Linked DNA regions of Styela clava. The protein of the gene in region 1 purifies or fractionates together with the protein of each later gene. This does not show direct contact. Links are inferred from orthologs where the notes say so. Each region holds a gene or a part of one and is shown in the gene's direction. Other genes may lie near its edges.

What was found. The genes of interacting proteins can lie anywhere in the genome.
Region 2: the proteins of kinesin heavy chain-like (region 1) and fasciculation and elongation protein zeta-2-like purify together in Drosophila melanogaster (affinity purification with western blotting; 3 studies listed by BioGRID). This does not show direct contact. The link is inferred for Styela clava from reciprocal best matches to the Drosophila melanogaster genes Khc and Unc-76.

The regions. Positions count from the first base shown.
Region 1 is NC_135262.1:2,470,443-2,481,701, forward strand, and holds the start of kinesin heavy chain-like, read left to right. Parts: upstream 1-5,976; 5' UTR 5,977-6,110; coding exon 6,111-6,155; intron 6,156-8,905; coding exon 8,906-9,007; intron 9,008-11,259. Other genes in the region: uncharacterized protein LOC120332555, read right to left, coding at 1-404. UniProt on the Drosophila melanogaster protein: Kinesin is a microtubule-associated force-producing protein that may play a role in organelle transport. Milt and Miro form an essential protein complex that links Khc to mitochondria for light chain-independent, anterograde transport of mitochondria.
Region 2 is NC_135263.1:11,069,368-11,080,641, forward strand, and holds the start of fasciculation and elongation protein zeta-2-like, read left to right. Parts: upstream 1-6,177; 5' UTR 6,178-6,194; intron 6,195-7,162; 5' UTR 7,163-7,455; coding exon 7,456-8,739; 3' UTR 8,740-11,274.

The DNA.
Region 1 (11,259 bases):
TTAAGTTGGATAATTTCTTCTCGGAGCATTCCTCTATCAACGTCAAACGTTGTTACTTTCGCTCGGAGTTCTTGATCAAGACGATTCTTTTCATTTGTGAGCATTGAGATTGAAGCGTCCTTTCTTGAAACTTCGATTTTGAGATCATTCGTTTCGCTGTGTCGTTCCTTGAGCTGAGTCATCATTTGATCAGCTTCTTTGACTAATTTTGGTTGAATATCGGTCGCTTTTTTCGCTTGATCTCGTAGATATGTCGTTTCTAACTCAAGGAAGTAGATTTGTTGTTGCAGATTTTTGATGTACTCTGATTCGACCTCTTTTAGAGTGCTACTCTTTCCTGGCGAGTATGCTGGCGGATAAACCGCCTTTTTCTTTTTATTTTCGGACCCTTTTTTATTCGGCATTTTGTGCTTTTTTAAGACAAATTAAAGAAGATATATATAGGCTGAAATTAAATAATATATTGTTGGTAATCAGATTTGGAATTCCACAATTTAAATGACATTATTTTCATTTATTGCAGTATTATGCTCCATTTTCAGACAGTGTCTCATTGCTATCTTTGGCATAGGATCTTAGTCCCAGGGAGAGAAACGCTGCTAAGATGGCCTAACATATGGCAACCATGCTCTCTTGTATGATTACCGGTGCATTTTGCGTATGGAAATAGTTACCCAGTTAACTTGTTTCAGATGAATGAACTTGTACGAATGCTAACCTTTCGCTAATACTTGGAATGGTATAAATTATTTGGAAGTAACCAATTTTCCATTATCAGTGAAGCTTAAAATTCTCAGTAGTTGATTGCAACTATTTGGGCTAGTGCTTCATTGAGAACAAGGAGCAATGTGGAACAAGCCTATGCTTCCGAAAACCAATAATTGGCTAACTAATACCATACCCAACATGTACCGGTACTGGTAACCGGACGAGAGGCAGTGGTTTGCCATATATTTAAGCCGGCGTATCACTTTCCTCTCCCTTGGGATAAATATGTAAATCCTATCCTACTGTATCCTAACTGTGAGGCTTTGAGTGAGTGGCTCCACATAAATACATCTGTCTCAGTAAAACCACTTCCAATCTCTGAAACCCCAGACCAATTTAGATTACTGCAATAAACAACAAGACACAGAGCGAATCTCCCTGCTTTTTGTTTGCGCTACATCTTTTTACAGTTATTGGCAGTTCATGATATCAATGCCAGGACACCGGTAACCAAGTAAATTGTACCGGTACCTTGTAAAAAGTACAACAGCCCAATAGTTTATTACTATCATGTATACATACATTTGTTTGTTAAGTTTGGCCCAAGCCTCATTTAATTGGGCTTGTATTTTTGTGGGCAGGCACATGAGATACTTCTCATTGTTTTATAAACTTTTTTATAGGTTTTGCTTGCCCTCCAGAATTCTCCATATTTAATTTATGTTTGTTATGGAGTTTTCGAAATAAACTATCTATCTATTTTCCTAATGCTTTAATTTGCAAATTTACATTGCATATAATATTTGTACATAACTTGCGATTAGCTAAAACTACAAATAACCTAACGGTCTTCTCTAAATAACATAATCATTATCACAATAATGTTCCAAATTAATCAAATTATCGCGTCTGAATTATTTAATTTGATTACAAAGTTATCGCTATCTCAAATGTTTGCAGAAGAAGCGCGTCATCAAAACGTCGTTATGGCAACTGATCACTCACTTTGATTGATCTTGAGTGACACCTCGCGAATGAATAAATTCGTAAATTAGTTCGTAGTGTTTGGAGTCGCCTAAATTGTTTCACGGATAAAACCGGAGTGGAGGCTTGACCATACAGCTCGCCCGCCGGCACGGTTTCTTTCCTACATCCTCGACGACCAAAAAAATGGCTGCTTAATCTTTGACGCCCGTTAAAAAAAAAAGGGAAAATAGTTTTTTTTTCGCCGGTCTTGGTGTGGCATCTTGATTTTCGCGGGCCTGTTTGCTCCCTTGGGTCAGCCAGAGCTGTCTTTCCGCTTCCTTGTTGGCATTAAGCAAGCATTGTTTTCTTTTTCCTACATCCAAATCTCGGGCATAGGATGAAGATGCTCTTTTACTTTCTCCTCCTTGTCTTGGACCTGCTCTTCTGGCACTCTTTGCCTGACTCACTCACACCTGCGTTGTTTTTTCTGTTTTCCTGTATTTTCTTCGGCTTTTCGCCTGATCCTTTCTCGCTTATCTTATTTTATTGTCCTGCTTTTGCTATTGGCGGTATGCCCTTCTTTCGGCTTTCCTCCCGTTCCCAGCCTTTTCTTTTTCCTCTTTTCCCAGTCTTTAGCTATCCTCTGCCTACTACACATGGGGATCCGCCTTTGCCTGCTCTGGTAGCCTTTTCTTTTTCCTCTTATTTTCTTTTTCCTTTCTTTTTTCCCAGTCTTTAGCTATCCTCTGCCTACACATAGGGGTCTTCTCTTTGGATCCGCCTTTGCCTGCTCTGGTGGTCGCACCGGCCTTCCGCTTCATCCGTCTGTCTGTTGTCCGTTGTCCTCATTTCTGACTGGTCTATTTCACTTGACTGCCTGCTCCTGGCGGTTCTCCCTTTTATCTCCTCCTCGCAGAGTTAGCCCAGGCTCTTCTTTTTTCACGCATGACTCATCTGCCTTAGTGATTCCACTCCAATCTGCGTTACTGTCTTCTCATGGCCTTCCCGTCTAATCTGCACGTCCGCTTTCCTTCCTTGTTCATCTCACTTGCCCGCCTGCTCTTGGCGGTCCTACCTTATGCCTGCCTTCCTCGCCTACTGTCTCTACCTAACCCACACACGGTTCTTTCCCATAGCTCCGTCTATCTCGTGGGATTCGAACCCACGCTTATACCTGGCCCAAGGTGTAACCATGTCTCTACGCTTCCCCTGCGCCACCGATACCGACGAAGACCGTTGGATCAGAATCTTACCTAATTAACAGATTTTAATCAACGTCACGCTTGGCAACCCCAGACTAATTATCTCAAATTACTGGACTCGGCAGTTGGCGAAGGGTGCAAAGCGTTAGATCACGGTTACCCGGCGCCGGATCGCAGGTTCGAATCCAATGAGGGACAATTATGTGCGAGAGGATTGCTAAACGCAAGCGCTGGTCAGCTAAGACTCCCTCGACCATAAAGTCCATCCACGAAACAAACAACTGGTAAACTATACTTATGTATACTACGCATGAACTGGTCATCGGACGACATAATTTTGTGCGCGATGTGGTTGGCCGTAACATCGGCCTGTTTCTCCACGGGATAAATTCCTATCCTGACTTATGCAATAGCGTATCAGCTTGCAGCATTGGAAGGCTGGAAGCCTGTGCATTTATGTCTGAATGGAAACTGTTGGCAACCGGATTTTAATACTTGACATAATCAATTTTGATTATCATATTGTGGCCACTCTGAAAAAAAAAAAAAACGGACAAACAAAATGTAGAGGACCTGGACGGCGAGCAGTCATAAGAACACAATAAAATAAAGACACGATATAAAATCGGGTAATACCTTTTAAATCAATTTAGGATGTGAGACACTGATCGAAAGGAGATCATGGCAATACTTTATACACACTAGAATTCAAAAAAGAAAAATGTGGTTGCGGTTCTTATATCGTGCAATATTTTTTTAATGGAGAAATCTAATATTACATTTGTATTGACTATTGGTAGTGGTATTATATTGGTATTTTCAAATTTGTGGAAATTCCATAGAGCTGGCGATGTTTTTCACTTATATTCTATGTCGCAAGGTGTTTTGAAAACTTTCCGAAATTTCCGTTTTGTGTGTTATCCCTATTCTATGGACGTTTCCCCGACCCTTGACCCCTGGAAAAAATATTATCAAAAAGATACAATGTTTACAACCATGCTTGAATATCTATAAACTCCAATTGTTACGTCATTGTTAACTTATTGCTGATTTGTTATTGTTACGGAAATAAACAAACAAGTTGCTGCACGGGGAAACATCCTGTCATAGCAGAGTTTATGAGATTTTTTTCATCCATCTGCATAACCACAAACTATCGTTTGGCTTCAAGTCCGTGTTCGAGACTACATATTTTATTGAATGAAAAGGTACATGGTGGCTAAACAACACGAGAACATCATCTATACTAATTGTTTTATTTAATTTATTTTATTTTTTCACTATTTGTATACTTTCCTCTTGAACATAAAATGTTAAAGGTCGTTTAATACTTTTTAAAAGGTCAAACAAATCGGGTCATCTCGGCACGATGACGTCATCCCCAGACAGAACGATCGATGTGAAAGCTTTGAGACAGCAGGTGTCGAGGGGTGGCGGTTTGTGATTTTTAGTTATTCGAGGGTTTGCAGTTGCCTCGACAAGGCTATTTCGGTTTGTAATTTTAGGTTTCGTTATTTTTACGTTTGGCTGTGTGCCTATTCCATTAATGAGTTGATAGACTTAGTTTTAATGCAGAACCAAGTGGAATCTCAGCCGTATTGTTTCTGCCATTCTGAGCTGATTGTCCTGTTGACCGTGACAGCTTGACAAAATACCTACCGGTAGTACCGGTATTAAGTTTTACTAGTTTGCTTAAGCAACTGATTATGTATAATAGTCTGTTGCAATATAATAGTAATATTACAAATCAAAGTAGTTAAATCTTGCAGATCGTCTCTTTTCCTGTTATTCAGTTATTGCGAAAGACTGAAAGAGGGATGGGCCTAAATAAATCTCATTCCAGTATTCTATTTGAACTATCTGTGGAATAAAAAATAGCAACAAAATAATTGGGAGTTTGCAAATGGATTTGCTTGGGTTGCATTGCTCATCAAAAACAGTCACTACAGCACTAGGGTGGCTTACCCACTTTCTGACTTTGCGCCCAAGACCTAATTGCGGCCATCAACTTCGACTATCTAATTAATGTCGAAAATTTATCGAATTGTGACGATATTTCTCACACGTTACCGTCCACTTGTCCCTCGTAGCTCTGCGAAATTACACTAAAATGCGGTCACAAACAAAAAAGTTACAACCGAAAACCTGACCGAGGAAAAGAAACGGACCATTTTTTCATGTCGCCAACTACCCATTGTCCCATCAAAAAAACTTGAAAATTCATACAAATATAAGAGATAGAGTTGTGTTTCTTTCAACCATCTTTAAATTTTCGCGTTTTTACGTTGTAAAGGAGGGGGAATAGGGGGTGCGCATTTCCAATACGTCGATAATATCTTTGCCGACCAATTTGTGACCACCGTGCTTTTGTCTGTTTGATTGCTGTGATGCGGTGCTTTGTATATAATTTGACGAGTTTTGTTCGAAATGACTGTGTTCTTAAAATATATGACGGTCAGAAATGCAATTAGAAGCCCATTTTTTCATGCATGGCTGCGTATGCCCTAGTCTTGACACAGCAGAAACGATGTTTAAAGCTTGAAATCTGTGGTCGCACACTGGTTGTTCGGTCGCAAATATGTCTTCCGAGTGTCGTACTTTGGTGGTTTGTATAGCTTTATCCCCTGGTTGTAGAAAGGTAATTCGAGGTTTAGCATGTAGAATAAATGCCAATGCACCTACGGTGAACGGGTTCGAAATATTGGTTTTTGTTTTATAGCGGTTTGAATGGAATCGTCAGCAGACTGGCAACACCACCCTACATTTTGAAGTTTTCTTTCAGGAGGAGGTTGATTTAACTGGGTTAATTCATATTGCTGTATTGTTGGATGCAGAACGGAACAGAGCTAGAGAACATTTTTTTGCTAGCTTCACAGAAATCATGGAATATATTTTATGATCATTATATTCTTTTTACTTCAATGTGTACTGTATTTCGTGCTATTTTTCTTCTGTTTCACGCTTTATTCAGTAAGTAGTAAGACCCCAATCATAGTGATGCATCACCTTTGAAAAACCTTTAGAACACTTGTGCACACTGAAAGTTGCTATTGCTATGATCATTCACAAATTTAAAAATATTTTCTTGTTCTACAGGGATTTATTAGTAGTAATATCTCACTTGGTTAGGTATTCTTTGATCAAATACATATGAATATTTAGAAGAAAATATTCCAACGTTCATTTGGAGAATTGGATTATAAACTGCTGAACTGTTTGGCGTCTTGATTCAAGATGACTGACGCAGGAGAGGCTTCATCGGCAGAATGCAGCATAAAGGTATTGTGTATGTTTATTGACGTTGGTTAGTATCACACAGCCCAATAGCCATTTACGAAGGCCATTTAAATGACGCTTAGAACATTATATCTTTCCCTAATATGATGTCCATATGGGGGAAACCATTAATGTACAGATTAGAACCATATTATCTCCATCTTTACTCCTAACCTTCTGTCCACGTGCCATGTATGGAGAAACCGATCAAATGATGATTGACAACTTTGATAAGATAGATAATTTGTCTTAACTTTGCCATTGTTCCAAACAGTAAATTATGATATACAAGACGAACACACAGCACAGATATTCAGGAAAGAAGATAAAACTTCAAGTTGAGTTAAGAAAAAAATGAGAGTACTACATGGTTAATTTATTGTGACATAGACTATAAATTCAGAAATGTACCACTTTCGACAGAGAAGAGTAAGCAATACAAATAGTAATTGGTACTATTATATACCCATTCTTATTCCTAACCTGATGTATATATGGTAGGTCAATAGACCTCTGCAGAGAATGCCATTTGAATGATGATTAGGACCACATTGGGGCTGGGCATTTTGAATCGAATATTCGAATCGAATAGTAAATTATTCGAATCGGTTCAGAGCTAAATTTCGAATCGCCGCCATCTTGTTTTTATCTTTCCGCTAATGGTCGAGGTGAATTCCCTAATTTTTCTTTTATTAGAGTCATATTTTTTCAACGGAATTCTAACATACGACTATTTTCTGTAGTGAGTTATTGATAAAACGTGTTTGTTATTCTGTGTGAACGCTCAGTAATCTATCTGAGTGAATCATTCTATGTCTTCGGTAATTCAATTGTTGAGAGGACCAATTACTATAATAAAGTCGCTTACAATTATATATTTCCAAGTATTCGAGATTCGATTCGAGAAAATTATTCGATTCGATTCTGAAATCACAAGGTACTCGAAAATGCCCAGCCCTAGACCACATTTCCATTTTTACCTTGCTATCTATCTTGCAGCTCAGTAGCCCTCTAGTGTAAAGCACATTTATTCGAATAGCGATTAAGACTATAGTTCCACCCCTATTCCTAACTTGCTGTCTATATGATAGCCCAGCAGCTCTCTACTGAAGAGAACATTCGAATGGTGACTGGGACCTTATATCCATCCCCATTCTTAACTTGTCTATATGCAGGGTTGCCATCTACCCAGAGCCAAAAATAAGCACGGGCGTCAAAATGGTATTTTTCAAGGGGAGGGGTCTTAACAACGGCAGAATAAGAATGAGAAGGAGATCATACACGAGTCTCCCACTTTTTATCATTAGAAGTCGCTTCGAACATGGTTGTACGCAGCTCCAAAATTGCAAAAAGCAATGGAAAGACACGGAGTCACTGCCACACGCTATCTCTAAGACAAGGGTCGGCAACCAAGTGTTACGAATCTTGGCGGGCGGCACATATTTTTTCCAGAAAGCTAAAAACTGAACGGGTGACTGATGAACCACATTATTTATACAGATTAGAAATTCAAATTTTGCACTTTAATAGCGACTTTGGTTTCCCGCAATGCGGTAGTATTGTGGGCACCGATTACTGTTTTCCACCTTTCTCGATGTCGCAATAGCAGTAGTTAATAGAAAATTTCTTTTCATGTTCGAAACAGAACTCATGGTCACGCTTACTCTAAATTGCAGTTAGTCCCTAAAAACAGTATTCCTAAAAACTAGCATCAACTATTGTGTGTGTCACAGTTTGCCTGGAAATACCGCAAACCCCACCGTTGAAAAAAGTTCGTCTGTCGTTTCCACGCAAGCTTTGTACACAAAACAAGTACTGGTCACCCACGTTTCTAACACCAAATAAGCACGCAACTCAAAAATAAGCACTTTTCTTAGAAATAAACACATAGTTACTTTATAAGACGCAGGCTAGAGAATAAGCATAAATCTTATAAATAAGCACGATATGGCAACCCTGTCTATATGGCAGCCCAAAACACCTGAAATGAGACCTCTAAAGAGAATGCTATTTAAATGGCGATTTGGACCATATCTCCTAACCAGCTCATCTCTATGGAATCCCAATAGTCCTCCTCCACCAAGATTGTCATTTAAATAGGGACCAATTATCTATTTTTATCCAACTATTTATATGACAGCCCAATAGACCCAAAAAAACAGGCTTTCAAATTATGATTGAATCTATATATCCAGCTTCATTACTAACCTAATTTTGGCTTGAACGAATTAAAGGAGAGTTGCAAGCTTTCATTGAAATACTGAATTTGTGTTAAAAATTTCTGATGTGGGAAGTTTAGATGTTTCAAATTAACATTTTGATTTAAAATATTCAACCACCTTTCATATAGAAGTATCGATAAAAAAGTTTGGCATAATCTATCACTGCTATTTCTAGACAACTTTTTGATTACTGCTATTAAACTAAAACTCTAAGTGAGGGAAAGTATAATTAGGGTATTTGATCCATACTTGAATCCGAAACAATACTAAAAACTGACAATGTTAACAACGATGCCAAAAATTTGTCTGAAAGACCAGCAATAGCCTACTCAACAACTGATAAAATTTTCCATTGTTATGTCACTTTTTGCATGTTACTGATTAGTTAATGTTACGGAAGTAAATAAGGATGTGCTTCGGGAAAAAAGGTCATGGTTCGTTATTCCTGTGCTGCGACAGAAAACCATTTTTTGATGTGAGACCTGTGGACGAAAATCTATAAAATAAGCGTACTTCTATATTTTTTTTCAGGTAATGTGTCGGTTTCGGCCGCTCAATCCATCAGAAAAGACAAGAGGGGATCAATTCTTGGCAAAGTTTCCTTCTGCTGAGCAAGTTACCTTTGGAAGCCCGGTATGAGAAATGTTTTTTCACTTTTTCCACATTAAAAATCTATGCCAATTTCAATTTAATTGAGTTATCGTATAATATAAAGTGGAATATTGTGCTCAAAGTTGGCCAAAACTGAATACATTTAAAATTATATTTTGAATATGAGGTATCAGGGAAGTAAAAGTTCTTACCATACAGTGTATATTCAATATTTTGAATTCAAAAAGACGTTTATTAAAAAATATCGAATATATTCTAATTTGAGTCTTGCTCATTGAAAAGGCAAATAAAATTGTTTGTCTCGGGTGTGCACAAAAGTGAAATAGACAGTTATTTGATAGGTTTCTGATATTTTATAATTTGAGAAATCTCACTAATTAAATGAAAGGGTTTCTGTTTCTACTGTTTTTTTATATTGATTATTTTTAACTTGCCTGTTGTATGCAACCCAATTTACTTTATGTATAGTGTGGACATGGTCGCCTAGTGCAGGGCTACTCAACTGGCGTACCCCGGTCCGAATCTGAACCGCATCTCAATCTTTATTTTGAATCATTAGCCTGATTTTTAACGTTTCATTTTATAAAATGACTTATTGTTTTGAATATATATGAAAAGAACTATAACACCATAATAAACAATCTTGATTAGCTGATAATCATTGACCGGTCGAGGAAGTGGGCGTTAATAAAGGATGCCGAAATATAATTTCTGGAAACACCGGACCCAAATAATTTTGTAGTTTTGTATGCGGATCTTCGGTAAATACAGTTGGGTGCTCCCGAAGTATGCGAACCAAGATGGCGGACATCGGAACGTAACAGGTTAGGGTTAGGCGATAATATTTTTCCAATTTTCCTTATTTTAGTCCTATTATCAGTTTGAAGATTAGCCAAGAGCCTCCCGTAGTATTTATACCTAAAATTATGGCTTAACCCTAACCTAGTACACATATTACATTCCGATGTCCGCCATCTTGGTTCGCATACTTCGGGAGCCCCTATAGTTGAGTAGCCCTGGCCTAGTGGTTACCAGTAAATATGATTACATATTTCGGGATCAATGTCCATGCCATGCCCGCCACTTCACCCTGGATAGAATGAATTATGTAGCCGATGTCAAACTGAAAACATTTCGTTCTTCCCAAACTACAGCGACAGTATGGCTGCCTTGTACATAGAAAAGTTTTATAAATACTTCATAGGAAAAATTTATGATATTCAAAATATTATTCCAGAATGTATTCGTAATAGTAAAAAGAATAGAATCTTTTTGGTCATCCTTGCTCGCAATTGAACTTTTCACAATGTACGTCAATGTTGTTTATGTTTTTGAGTTATATTACCATAAAAAAGTGATTTTCTCCTATGGATTATTTCATCATTGAAATTATTTCACATGGTTGTCATTGCCGCACTGACGATTATTCGATTTAGACTTTGCCTTTGGGGCTCTCTGTGTTTGGAAATACTAAACTTGTAAGAGGATTTCCAATATGACTTGAAATATATATTTGACATAGTAAATTCATTATTTGGTAAGGACTAATTTGAAAATGTGGCAATTGAAGTCTAATAAGTAGTTTTTATACTAAAAATACATATTGTATGAATAAAATAATGAAAAAAAAGGCCTTTCAAGGTGAAAAGAAACAAAACAGACAAAGTAACACTATTTTTCTGCCTCGACTTATCAGGTGGTAATATTGAAAAACCCTGATTTTTAGCACTAAAAATTGATCTAGACTCATTAGCCAGAAAATACGGTATTTTAGAATGTATTTGAAATAGTACATTATTTGGTTTGACCGATTCTTGCGTAAAAATTCAATTTGGTCCCATGTTTAGAACTACATAATTGAGCAAAATTTGTGTATATTTTATAAATGTAATGTAATGTCCACTACCTATAAATTGAAAGTCTCACGTTGTGACCAAAAACCTGAATAGGTTACATATTATTTGGTAAACAAACTCAATTTGCAATATATATAAAATATAATATAATTCAAGTCAACAACATTATTTTAAAATGTATTTGGAATATTAAATGATTTTGTTTTATCCATCTTTGCTCCAAAAATCCATTTGGTCCCATATCAGCATAGGGAACTATTATTTCAGAAATGGACTTTTTAAAAATGGAAATGGACTTCAGACTCGTTAAACCTACTGTCACTATAGATCAGCGGCTTCCAATGGGGACACTATGCTAGGCGCAAAACTTATTTTACTTTCCCCTTACAAGAAAACTCGGTTCTTTCTAATTTCATT
Region 2 (11,274 bases), on another chromosome or scaffold:
CATTTCATACAATGAATATACATATAAAGTTTAGCAGTAAATTAAAAATACATATTCATCGCCGCGATTACTCCACCTGTTAAAAGAGCCGACTTTTACAACGAATAATATAACAACAAATATATATTTATTTTTCTGTTGTGCAAAGTGATTAATTCGTGACCAATACGAGCATATTTAAAATGTCTTGCTTTAATGATTTAATTGTTTTCAATTTAACCTGCGGTTGCGTCGACAAAATAAAATCCTCACCACTCTAATATGCCATGGCATTCGCGGACATAAAAATAAAAATGTGTGGTAAACTGTCCGATTATATATTGTTTTGATCCGTATTTTGCGAATTCGGCAAATTTGAGATGTGTAACACTGACTCCGCTCAATCGAAATGCCGCCACTCCGATTATTTTTGAGATAAAACCGTTCGAAAAATCCATAAATCTGCCGTAAAATCTCAGAGTAAAATTTATTTCAGCACAATAAAAATTGATTGAATATACTTAAGATTAATTATATTATATACATTCTCACAGCCCGGTAAAAGTCGCGTTTCAAACCTTGTATAATGTTAACACAAAAATTTTCGACGGCAATTTAATTGAGGTAAGGATAATCAGGCAAATCCCGCCCTCAATTAGTGACGATATGTTTCTAAACGCGGACCAAACATAATGTGGAAATTTTGCGATTTTCACTGCCTAAATGAGCGTTTTTTAAACTGTCGCGGGCCTCAATAAAACATATTTTGTTTACGGTTTTATTTTCAGTATATTAAATTGCCGCTTTTCAATCAAAAAATTTGAGTTTTATTTAGAAACTCGCCGCCGATGAACGTACTCTCACAATTCACAATTCTGTGCGAGTACAAAAATCAAATCAGTGTCATCGTTATGTGGAACAAATTTGTGGAAAATTTTCGTTTCAGAGAAAATAACACAAACGTAAAGGCGTTTACGGCCTAAATAACACGCCCGCTGATAAAGCAATCGCGCGCAAGTTCTTATCAAGAATGTTTTCACTCAACGGAAACGTCTTGAAAGCGGCGTCGAAAATGTGTAACGTCACACAAATATCCGATATTCTCATGAACGCTAATTCCGATATTCGAATAACGAGATATTCGAATACTTTATTCGAATTGGCCTTTCCTGCCCCTGGGTTAGGGTTTCCAACTATGAAAAGTTTTAATAAAGGACATAGATTACCGTCATCATTTATTTTGTAACTTGCGAAAGAACAGTATAAAATGAAATAAAAATTATATACAAGTCAAAAAGATATATTGAAACAGTCTTCATGTATTGTTTATTTAACATTGACCCAAACAATGTTAATAAAATTGTTATTTCTTTCGCTATTTGAGCCGGACAAAAGCGAAATTAAGAATAATTAAAAGCTTGCAAATACATAAACGGATACGATTTTTAGGAACGGAACAATACCAAACACAGTACTATAACTATCGGGCAAAACGATGTTGGAAAGCATAAAGGATGATTAGCATCTTTTCTACAAGGACAAGGACCTAAAAGCTTAATAGGATTATCCCATAAAATAAATGACGGTTGGCAACCCTACCCTGGGTGGAAATCGCAGACCGGTCGCTTATGCACATTCACGTTGCGTGTATCGGCGGCACTCTGCTATGTCAAGTGAAGGCGGATTAGATCAGCACGGACATTGGCGAGCTAAAGGACAAGCCATAAATCCTGTCATTTTGAGTTGTTGCATGGCAAAGTACACAAAACACGACACTTGAATGAACGTGTGCTACAAACAATTACACAAATCATACCATTTTGTGTTATTGTTTTCATTTTGTCAATCATGGCCAAAAGTGACACTTGAATGAACGTGTGCTGGGACAAGCCTCAAAGCATGTCATTTTGGGGCTATTGCTTGCATTCATTCAATCATGTCAGAAAGTATGCTATAGTTCAGGGGTTTTCAAACTTTCGGTATTATGGAGTCCGTGGAGAGGTTGAAATAAATTTATAAACGATTAATGTTCCTGAGTAAATTAAAAGTACTTTATTTAATGACTATTTGCTGCTTTCTATTTAAAAAGGATTAAATTGCGGTTGTCAAATTTTATTAATGCCGTTATTGCTTTATTAGACAATTACAAAATTAGCCAGGTCAATATTTTAATGAGTATACGAATAGTTCGCGGAGCCCTTGGGGTTTTCTCACGTAGCACTGCTGCTCCGTATAGGGCTCTTTGAGAACTCATCTAGTCTTCCCAAACACAACACTTGAATGAATGTGTGCTTCAAAACATTATCATGTACAGTATACACATTGGCTATAATCAATTTTATAATATCAATATAGAAACCGCAAGATTGATGAATCTCTGAAATTTTGCGTTATAGATAATGAAGTTAATCAATTTAAAAGTACAACTGTCAAAAATTTATATCCCAAGATAAAGCATAAAGCGACATATCCCTCACTGGGTGACCGTACATTTGAACCCACGTACATTTGAACCCATGCGTATATCCGCGGGTTCAATCTATATGCGGTTGCTAAAACCCATGGGTTAGGGTGAGTATGGGTTAAATTATCCGTAAAACAAAAAATTTCCATATGTGCAATAGTATGCAGGTGCAATTGTCATGGGTTCAAATGCCGTGGGTTCAAATGTAATGGAACCCCCTCACTGATATTAAATTCAAAGGAACAGAATGACATTTGTGTCAATGGTGATTGTCCGAATTAGAGAAGAAAATATCTACAGTCAACAATATTGGAAACTTATTTGACTAAATCATGTGATCCTCGATTTAGTGAAAAACTGTAAGGCTGTTACAAATTATTCGCAGAAAGAAGTTTAAAACTTTTGCATTACCCACCTTGTTCTATTTAACATGTTTTTTATTTTGAATTTTCTTTTGTATCAAAAAACATTTCGTACGACCCACCCGATAGGATTAAACGTATATTTCCAAGTCCATTACACAAAAAGGTATTTTTCACGTCAAATAAACTTCAATGTCCAGAGCTCGGCGACTGACGCAGCGTGCCGAGCGTTTGGAATGCACTGCCACCATACCTCTAATTAGATTGACATGTTGGAATCCATTGAAGTATGCCTATATGCGAGGTGATTGGTGGACTGCTCGCCGTCGAAGGGTGGTTCACGTAACCCCCGGTCAAGAGGAATGTGTTTAAATTGAAAAACCAAGTTATAGAAACAAACAACTTTGTAATAAAAATATAATGAAACCAACGTATAAACTGTGTTTTATTAACTGCAAGATATTATAATTATAAATGTAAACTACGTAATGAAAGGCCTCAATTTGATCAATTTTTATATATGATAAAAAGCGTTCTTAACCGTGAAAAATTATTCAACTAAAAACTGTCGAACCACGTTAAGAGGTGGAAAATTATCATGAACTCATTTTCTTAAATGCGACTTTATTTATGTGTTATCGTGTGTATAAAAAGTAATGTTTTTATCAATAAAAAAAATATATGATGATTCTATTCTAAAATCTCAATACGAAAATTCCTTTTGGCATTGGGATTTATTTCGCAAACAGGGTCACGGGTTTCTCTGCGTGCATGCATATGGAACAACTGGATTACTACTGTATTACCAATTACCATAGCCGACGTGGACTGGTAATCGAACGAGAGGGCGTCGCCAAATGAATAAACCGCCTTATCGACTCCCCCAGATTAGGGGATAAATATGAATTCATATCCTACATCATTTAACTATAGAAGGTTGTCATTTTCTGTGATGTAAACAGTGGTGGGATTCAGCTGGTTCGCACCGGTTCTATAGAACCGTCTCACGGAAATTTATGAGATCAGCGAACCGGTTAGCACAGTGGTTCACAACCAGGGTAAAGATTTTGGTGTGCCGCAAAGAGATTTCATTTTTGAATTTATATCAAGTGATTCCAATTTTTAGTCCCTTGAATTCCAGAAGAATTACTCACAGCTCTTGCTAACAAACAGAAGCGACAAATTTGAGGAGTCGTTTTCAGGTATTTGGGTATTGTTTTAATTCTTAGTTTTGTATAATGCGCGCCAACACCGTTTCGTAAAATTGAAAATGTCAACCAAGGTTACAAATTATTGTGCGAAATTTTTCCCAAATTTGAGGAAGGAATTATTATTTGACTAGCAGAATTGTCATTATTGCCTATTTATTTAATTATTATTCAAATTCAAAATAACATTCAGGATTCACGCAATGACTTTGCAGAGTTTTTATTCACCATTTAATACGAAAATTAAACAGACACAATAAGAAAGTAAATTCATAAGAAGGTCAACTATCGTCTTTATAAATATCCGCTTTCCGACGTCAGAAATGATAATATTGTTAGCTCAATTGGGACCATTGGGACAGTTAATTTACAATCGGTGGGGAGAAAGGTCAAAACCGGCGTAAAAGATGAAAATCAGAATAAAATCTTTAATAGCCGTCTTCAACATATGTCGCCCATATGAACGCATAGTTCTCCTAAAAATATAAAACCAAACGTTGCGTAAGAATTAGTCCTTGTAAAAAAAGAGGACTGGCGGAAATAGCTCATCAACATTAGAATTCCTAGCATTCTGGATGCCCATTTTATTTGTATTAAAAATATCCGATATTCGACAATTCGTTAAAAATATTCGAATAATTCGATTCGATAAAAATATTCTTTTTTGCCCATCCTTGCGATCTGTAATCATGCCAGTAATCAGGCGAAACGAGTGAGAGCACAAACACTGATGCAATGAAACTTAATAATAGAACCTTTATTAAATGTAGTAAATTGCACTACTTCACGAAAGCGTGGTGGAATTGACGATTATTTCATATCTCGAACGCAGAAACGGTTATTTTCCGGATAGTTTCTGCGGTCGGAAAGTCGAATAAGCGTTTCGACGTAGTAAATGCTATGATCTTTGCCATCAAATTATGCTCGGGCCTTGTACGAAATTCATAACGTGAAAAGATTCGTTCATCGGTGAAAATTGTTTATAACAACTTTAAACCTATTTAGTGTTTTAGCGATAATAATTAATTGTTGTAATGAAATACGGTTTGTTTGCCTCCTTCATTTATTTCGCTAGTGCCGACAATTACCGTTGAATGATTTTGGCAATGAGAGAAACATTAAATTGTAACAAAAATAAATTAGGTTGTGCAAAAGTGAGAATACCTGTGATAATAAGAAGGCTACACCCAGGGAAAGGGCGAGAAAAACCAAAGCGTATCGCGTCACGACTATTACCCGTGCAGCCGCGCATCTTATACAAAAATGTGAGGTGCTCTGATGGTGGGTCTCGTGTACGTTATTGTAAGAAAACAGTTATAATATCGGTAACTATTAGCCACCCATTTTAAATACAGGATATGTTATATTAACAAAAATAGAATTTCTCTTATTTGATCTTCTGTGTTTTTGGACACGTAGTGGCATCGTTCGATCACGATCGTTTCAATATTATGTTGTTCTTGTTCTTGTTGTTATTTGACACAGAGTAACACACCCAGTGGAAATATTAAAAAACCGCTTTTCTCTTCGAATACTGGACCAATTGCTTTGAAATTTTCAGTGGTTGAAGATAAAATTTTTCCCCAGAAATGTTCCTGTTTTGTGATAGGTGTGCCGCGAATATTTAAATAGTTCAATAGTGTGCCGCGACATAAAAAAGGTTGGGAACCACTGGGTTAGCATTACTGAAAAAACATGACTTTTTGTAACAAAACCGGCTGAAAGATATGTGATGGAACCGGCTGACAAAAAAATTGGATCCCACCACTGGATGTAACATATATGATTAACGAGGAAAACTATACAACTGTTTAATTTTAATTATGGAATCGATAAAAATTCCCTAAATCGCCAAAAATTTCCTGAAAATGGGAAGTTTGCTGAACTTCTCGTTGTTGCGGGATTGTTCACATGGGATTTTTTCCTTAACAAAATCGAAAGGACTAGAAGACATTTTTTAGTACGCATGATATGATTTCATATCGATTTCCTGCTATCTCGGATGGATACAAATTGTGTTCAAAATAGATGTCGGGAATTTTACGACGAAGGAAATATTTGTACACTATTTTCCCGGGTCAAAGGTCGAGTTGACTGACATTACCCAAAAAGGCACAAGGATAAGGAACCCATCAAAATAGCTGGGGGGGGGGGGGGGGGGAGTAATTTACGTTGGTACCGGTATGTATATTTATTTCATTAGTTTAATCTGAAGCAACAAAATTTATAATGTAAAAATTCATATTGGCTATGAAATACAATTTGGCAATACACACACACGCACAAAAAAATGCAGTTTGTTTAGTCTTCCTATTGTTTTCAGCAAGTTCGTGATCGAATGATTCTCTCCTATTCACTGATTTCATTTCAAATATTTAAGTTAAGTACCGGAATCAGTTGGCAAAAAGATAGGTTTAGAAAAATAGGTTGAAACAATAAACAGAGTTCAAGTTCAGTACTAGTTGGCCCACCAGTAATTGGAATTTGGGTCATTCTGTCCAGTCATTCAGTCATTGCTGCATTGACAGGGAAATCAAGTCTGTTACAGTGTCCTGCTGTCTAGAGGTCTGAGCCATTCAACTTGGTTATCATACATGTTCAGATATTGCTGTATATATTGACCTCAACAACCTACCTAGACGTTTCGGCGAACCTACGCCAGCACGCTACTAGGATAGGATAGGATAGGATTTACATATTTATCCCGGGGGAGAGGAAAGCCAATAAGACGGCTTATCCTTATGGCGAACCACGGCCTCTCGTCCGGTTACCATTCCAAGTCGGGTATGGGATTAGTTGTATTGTTTGTTTTCGGAAGCATGGACTTGGTGGTGGAGGAAGCCGTAACCGACCAGCGGTTACGTGAACCACCCAACGACGGCGAGGAGTCCAGCAATCCTCACGCACATAACCATCCCTGCATGGGATTCGAACCTGCGAACCCACGCAGAGTAATTAGAGGTGCGGTGGCGAGCGTATTCCTAACGCTTAGCCCGTTGAGCCACTCCGCCGCGCAATTACCGCCTATGCAATTACCGTACATAGCCTAGGGCCATGAGGTGACATCTGTATGTCATAAGACTGTAAGACATGTCCTCATATTCTGATATTGCTGTATTGAGTTAGGAGTTTGTTTATTATTCTTTAAGGACCACTTGTCAACTGCAAAAAGACTATATTCGTTTTTTAAATTTGTGACATGAAAACATCACCATTGGATTCTTCAAAAAAGAAGGGGTTTACACTTACTGTTTGTTTGATGTCTTTCAATGTGGGGGCTATTCTTGGAATCGAAGAACTAATATTCTGATATACAGATAATATATGATATACAGAGACCCTGAGACCAGAGATATGCTGATAAATGTGAACATTTTCTTGTCCTGGCCTTTCCTCTTTTCTTATTCCAGTTTGATTTATTTTTCAGTTTTTAGTCTATAAAATGACTGCCCCTATGGCAGAAACTGAGGATGATTGGGGAAATTTTTCATCAAATTCATTTTCATGTGATGGAAAAAAGGAGGATTGCTTCAGTGATGATTATTTCAATTCTTTTGGAAATGGAATAACGCAAGGTCTGAATAATTGCACAACATTGAACGTTGCAGAGAATTATGGAAGTATGGAAGATTTGGTTAAAAAGTTTGAGCAGAAGATTTCAAAATGTTTTAAGATACAAAATAAATCAAGTAACAATGATAAAATTGTAAAACCATTACAAACATTAAATGATATTTTAGACTACAATGATATTTGGAAGTCGATCACTGATAACTATGGATTAGTTAAACCATTGGATTGGTGTAGTTCACAAATTCGTAAATTACACATTCCTGCTCTGGATCTCAACATATCAGACCAAAGCAATGTAGAAAAAGATCTCGATGGATATTCAGAATTTGAAAGCAATGAGCTTAAAAATCAAATGGATTTTCACAAATTAATTGAGTATAATGTATACTCAGAATGTGAGCCTTATCAAATGTCTTGTCAGAATTCTGAAACAACTGGAAATGGGAAATTACAATCTGCGGATGAAGTCATTCAAGAACTAGAAGAAATTATGTTGGATGCAGATGAGCAGGACGCAGCATTTGACGACGAGTTGGAACAACAAACTGGAATTATCATTGCTGATACTGATGGAAGCATAGATGCATTTTCAATTGAAAACGACCTGATGAGTGACGAGAGCAGTATAATTTATGGACGTAACTTGGGATCGCCATCCAGTCAGGAGGAAAGTGACAGAGCGTCTAGTCTGAAACAAATGTCAATTGCGGAATTAAATGAAGAGCTGTGTAGCTTGGAAAGTACTGTCAAGTTTCTTTCAGAAGATTTGTTGAATCAGTTAAATTTTCGCGATGAGCTTTTATACGAGAAAGAAGTTCGTAACACATTTATTTCCAAAATATTAGAAGTTCAACGTAAACAGGAACAATTTCAGCAGAATGATAAAGCGCATTCTAGCAGATTCAAGTTAGGGAAATTGTCAAAAAGTTTCAGCATGTCAAATGCATCAGTGTCATCCTCTCCTGGGAGATTTCTCACTACTGTAATTCCTTTTGACGAAGGTGGTGTTCCTCCACTAGAGGGTCTTCAGGCTCTTATTAAATTACTAGATGCCATCAAAGCAGATAGTGAAGAAGTGCCGTCGTTGATAACCAACTATATATTGAAAGTATTAGTTCCGGCACCGACAAGCGCACGCACTTTGACTTTATAAGATGCCGCAATTCAAATGACGCATGGTTATTTATTTATTTGACTTTTCAATGCAGCTTTTCCTAGGAAAAGTTATTCCAAGTTCGTCCATTTCAAATTGTGTTATTTTATTGGTAATTCTATTATTTGATCAGCTTCATGGTCAAATTTTTGTGTAGTTTGTCCCACTCAATGATAATGTTCCTAAAGATGTATTAATTAGTTTGCAGTTACCGGTAATCAATATAGTGATGCTCCATTATGAAATTAACAGTCTTAATTGTGTTGTGATCGCCCTCTACTCAGTTTAAATTGGCATACTTTGGGGGTACGTCATAGTATCAATATTGTAATGTATAGAGTATCGCAAATAAGACAATATTTTGTGACATAAATTGATTTTTCAACGTTATATATTATATATTGACGCTTTCCGCTTTCATAACCAAATTCTGGAGTTATTTGGATATCTCTCTGCAGCAGTGTGCTAAATTTACCTATGTTATAAGGAATTATGAATTTGCAATTGCTACAAAACTTTACATTGCTTGCCAGTTAGTCATTCATGATAGGTTTAACTTTTATTATTTTGTTATTTATCTTTGCTTTGTTCCCATAACATTATTCACTTTGCCAGAATCTTTTTTTATTGAATTCTTCATTTTATATCCGTCAAATCATTATGCAAGATAACCCGTTAGAAATAAATTTTTTAAATCGGTACATTTTATTTAGTAAAGTATGGTAGTTAATAAAATATAATTGTATGAAGGTTATTACACTTTTCAAGCCATATCTTGACGCTTTTTCAATATCAGTATTGAGTAATTTTAGTGCAGTATTGGTAAAAAGATCGGATGTGGATGGGACTTTTTGTTGCTACTACTACAATAATTAATTTGTCAAGTGAAACGTTTTTTTCATATTTCATATACTTCTGTGTATGTTAAGTGTTGTAGGAATATACCTCAAATCATACTCCACTGGGCATAACTTAATATTCAAACATAATCAGACAGACATACTGACTACTTGGCCACATTGTGCCGGAACAAATTCTTTGTATACTTAATTGATTTCATAATAATTTCAATAATAAATTTAAAACAAAAGCTGGCGACACTGTTGTACATTTTTAAAGGGGTGCCGTGTGTGTATGATGTTAATAATACTTAATTTGTTAAATGCTTTACCTGCAATTGATTGTTATTTAATTATTCTCAGTGTTAATGAATATTAGTTTCGATTGAGCTGTTTATCAGGTTTTTATAACTCTGTAATTCACTTCTTTGTCAACATAGTAATTGCAACAGTGGTGCCTGCTGTAGAATTCAATTATCATTATATATTTAACAGTATCGTAATCTCAACCTATTGTCAAACATGTTCTTTAATGATACAATTTATTTTTTTTGCTGACACTTCTTCACGAGCAAAAATATGTACTCTGTAAAAATTGTCCTTTCTAGACTTGAGGTGTGCAACCAGATTCCTGTATTTAGAGTTTTATGTGGGATTTTATAACTCCAATTGCATATATCATGATTTGCTACAAAAATTTTGCTACAATTTTCCTATAAATCAAGGTTTTATCTGAAAAAGAATTCTAGAAAATTAAACTATTAAATATGAATATCTCGGTAAACGTTTGAACAATGAATTAAATGTAGGCAGCGATTTAAAAATATCAATCTATTGTATAATGAACATCTCCTGAGTTTATTATTTTCAGTCGCTAAGACTGGATTATATATACCAGTATATATTCCCAAATCTTTTTTGGAAATTCATATTAATCCTGCACTGCACACTGATTTTAAATAGGTTCATGTTTTTTTTCAAACTCAATATTCAAACAAATAGTTTTCTGTCTGTTCTTAATTTTTGTCATTTCTATTGATTATGGTATTTTATCAGCAAATACTAACTGTTATAATTTTCATCCAAGACACTTTACTACTCTTCATTTTTCTTCAAAAACATTACTACTTTTTTTTCACACTTCTTGTGATTGCTTAATAATTGATGTTTGCATGAGTAAATTATATTAATTATTGTATTAATTATCACTTGCTCTTTTTACTTGCCCAGTTCTAGTTTGTGGCCACACAGTCCCATTTTATACTATGTTTGTATCATACTTGATATGAATAGATTGTTCATGTTTGACTTGCCCTAACTAAAATAAGGACCATTTTTATCGCGTATTTTCTATATAAATATTTAATACTCAGAATAGATATATAATATCAAATATTGTTAATAAATTGAGAAGGCAACTTTTTATAGGAGCAGTTAAAATAACTTATTTTAGTACAATTCATATTTTGTTATACAAAAATTCTGTAGTATATTATTCGTCAACATCAAATTGATTTCTAGTCATATTAGAGTATCCACTGTTGGGTTATTATAGCATTTTATTGAGGGTGCTGTTATTTATCATTATAATTAGTTATATTATATTTTGTCGAATAAATATCAAGAAAATCATTTTTAAATTTTTAGTACAAGTCACAACATAATTTCGGGATTTGATACATTTTTTCGATGTTCC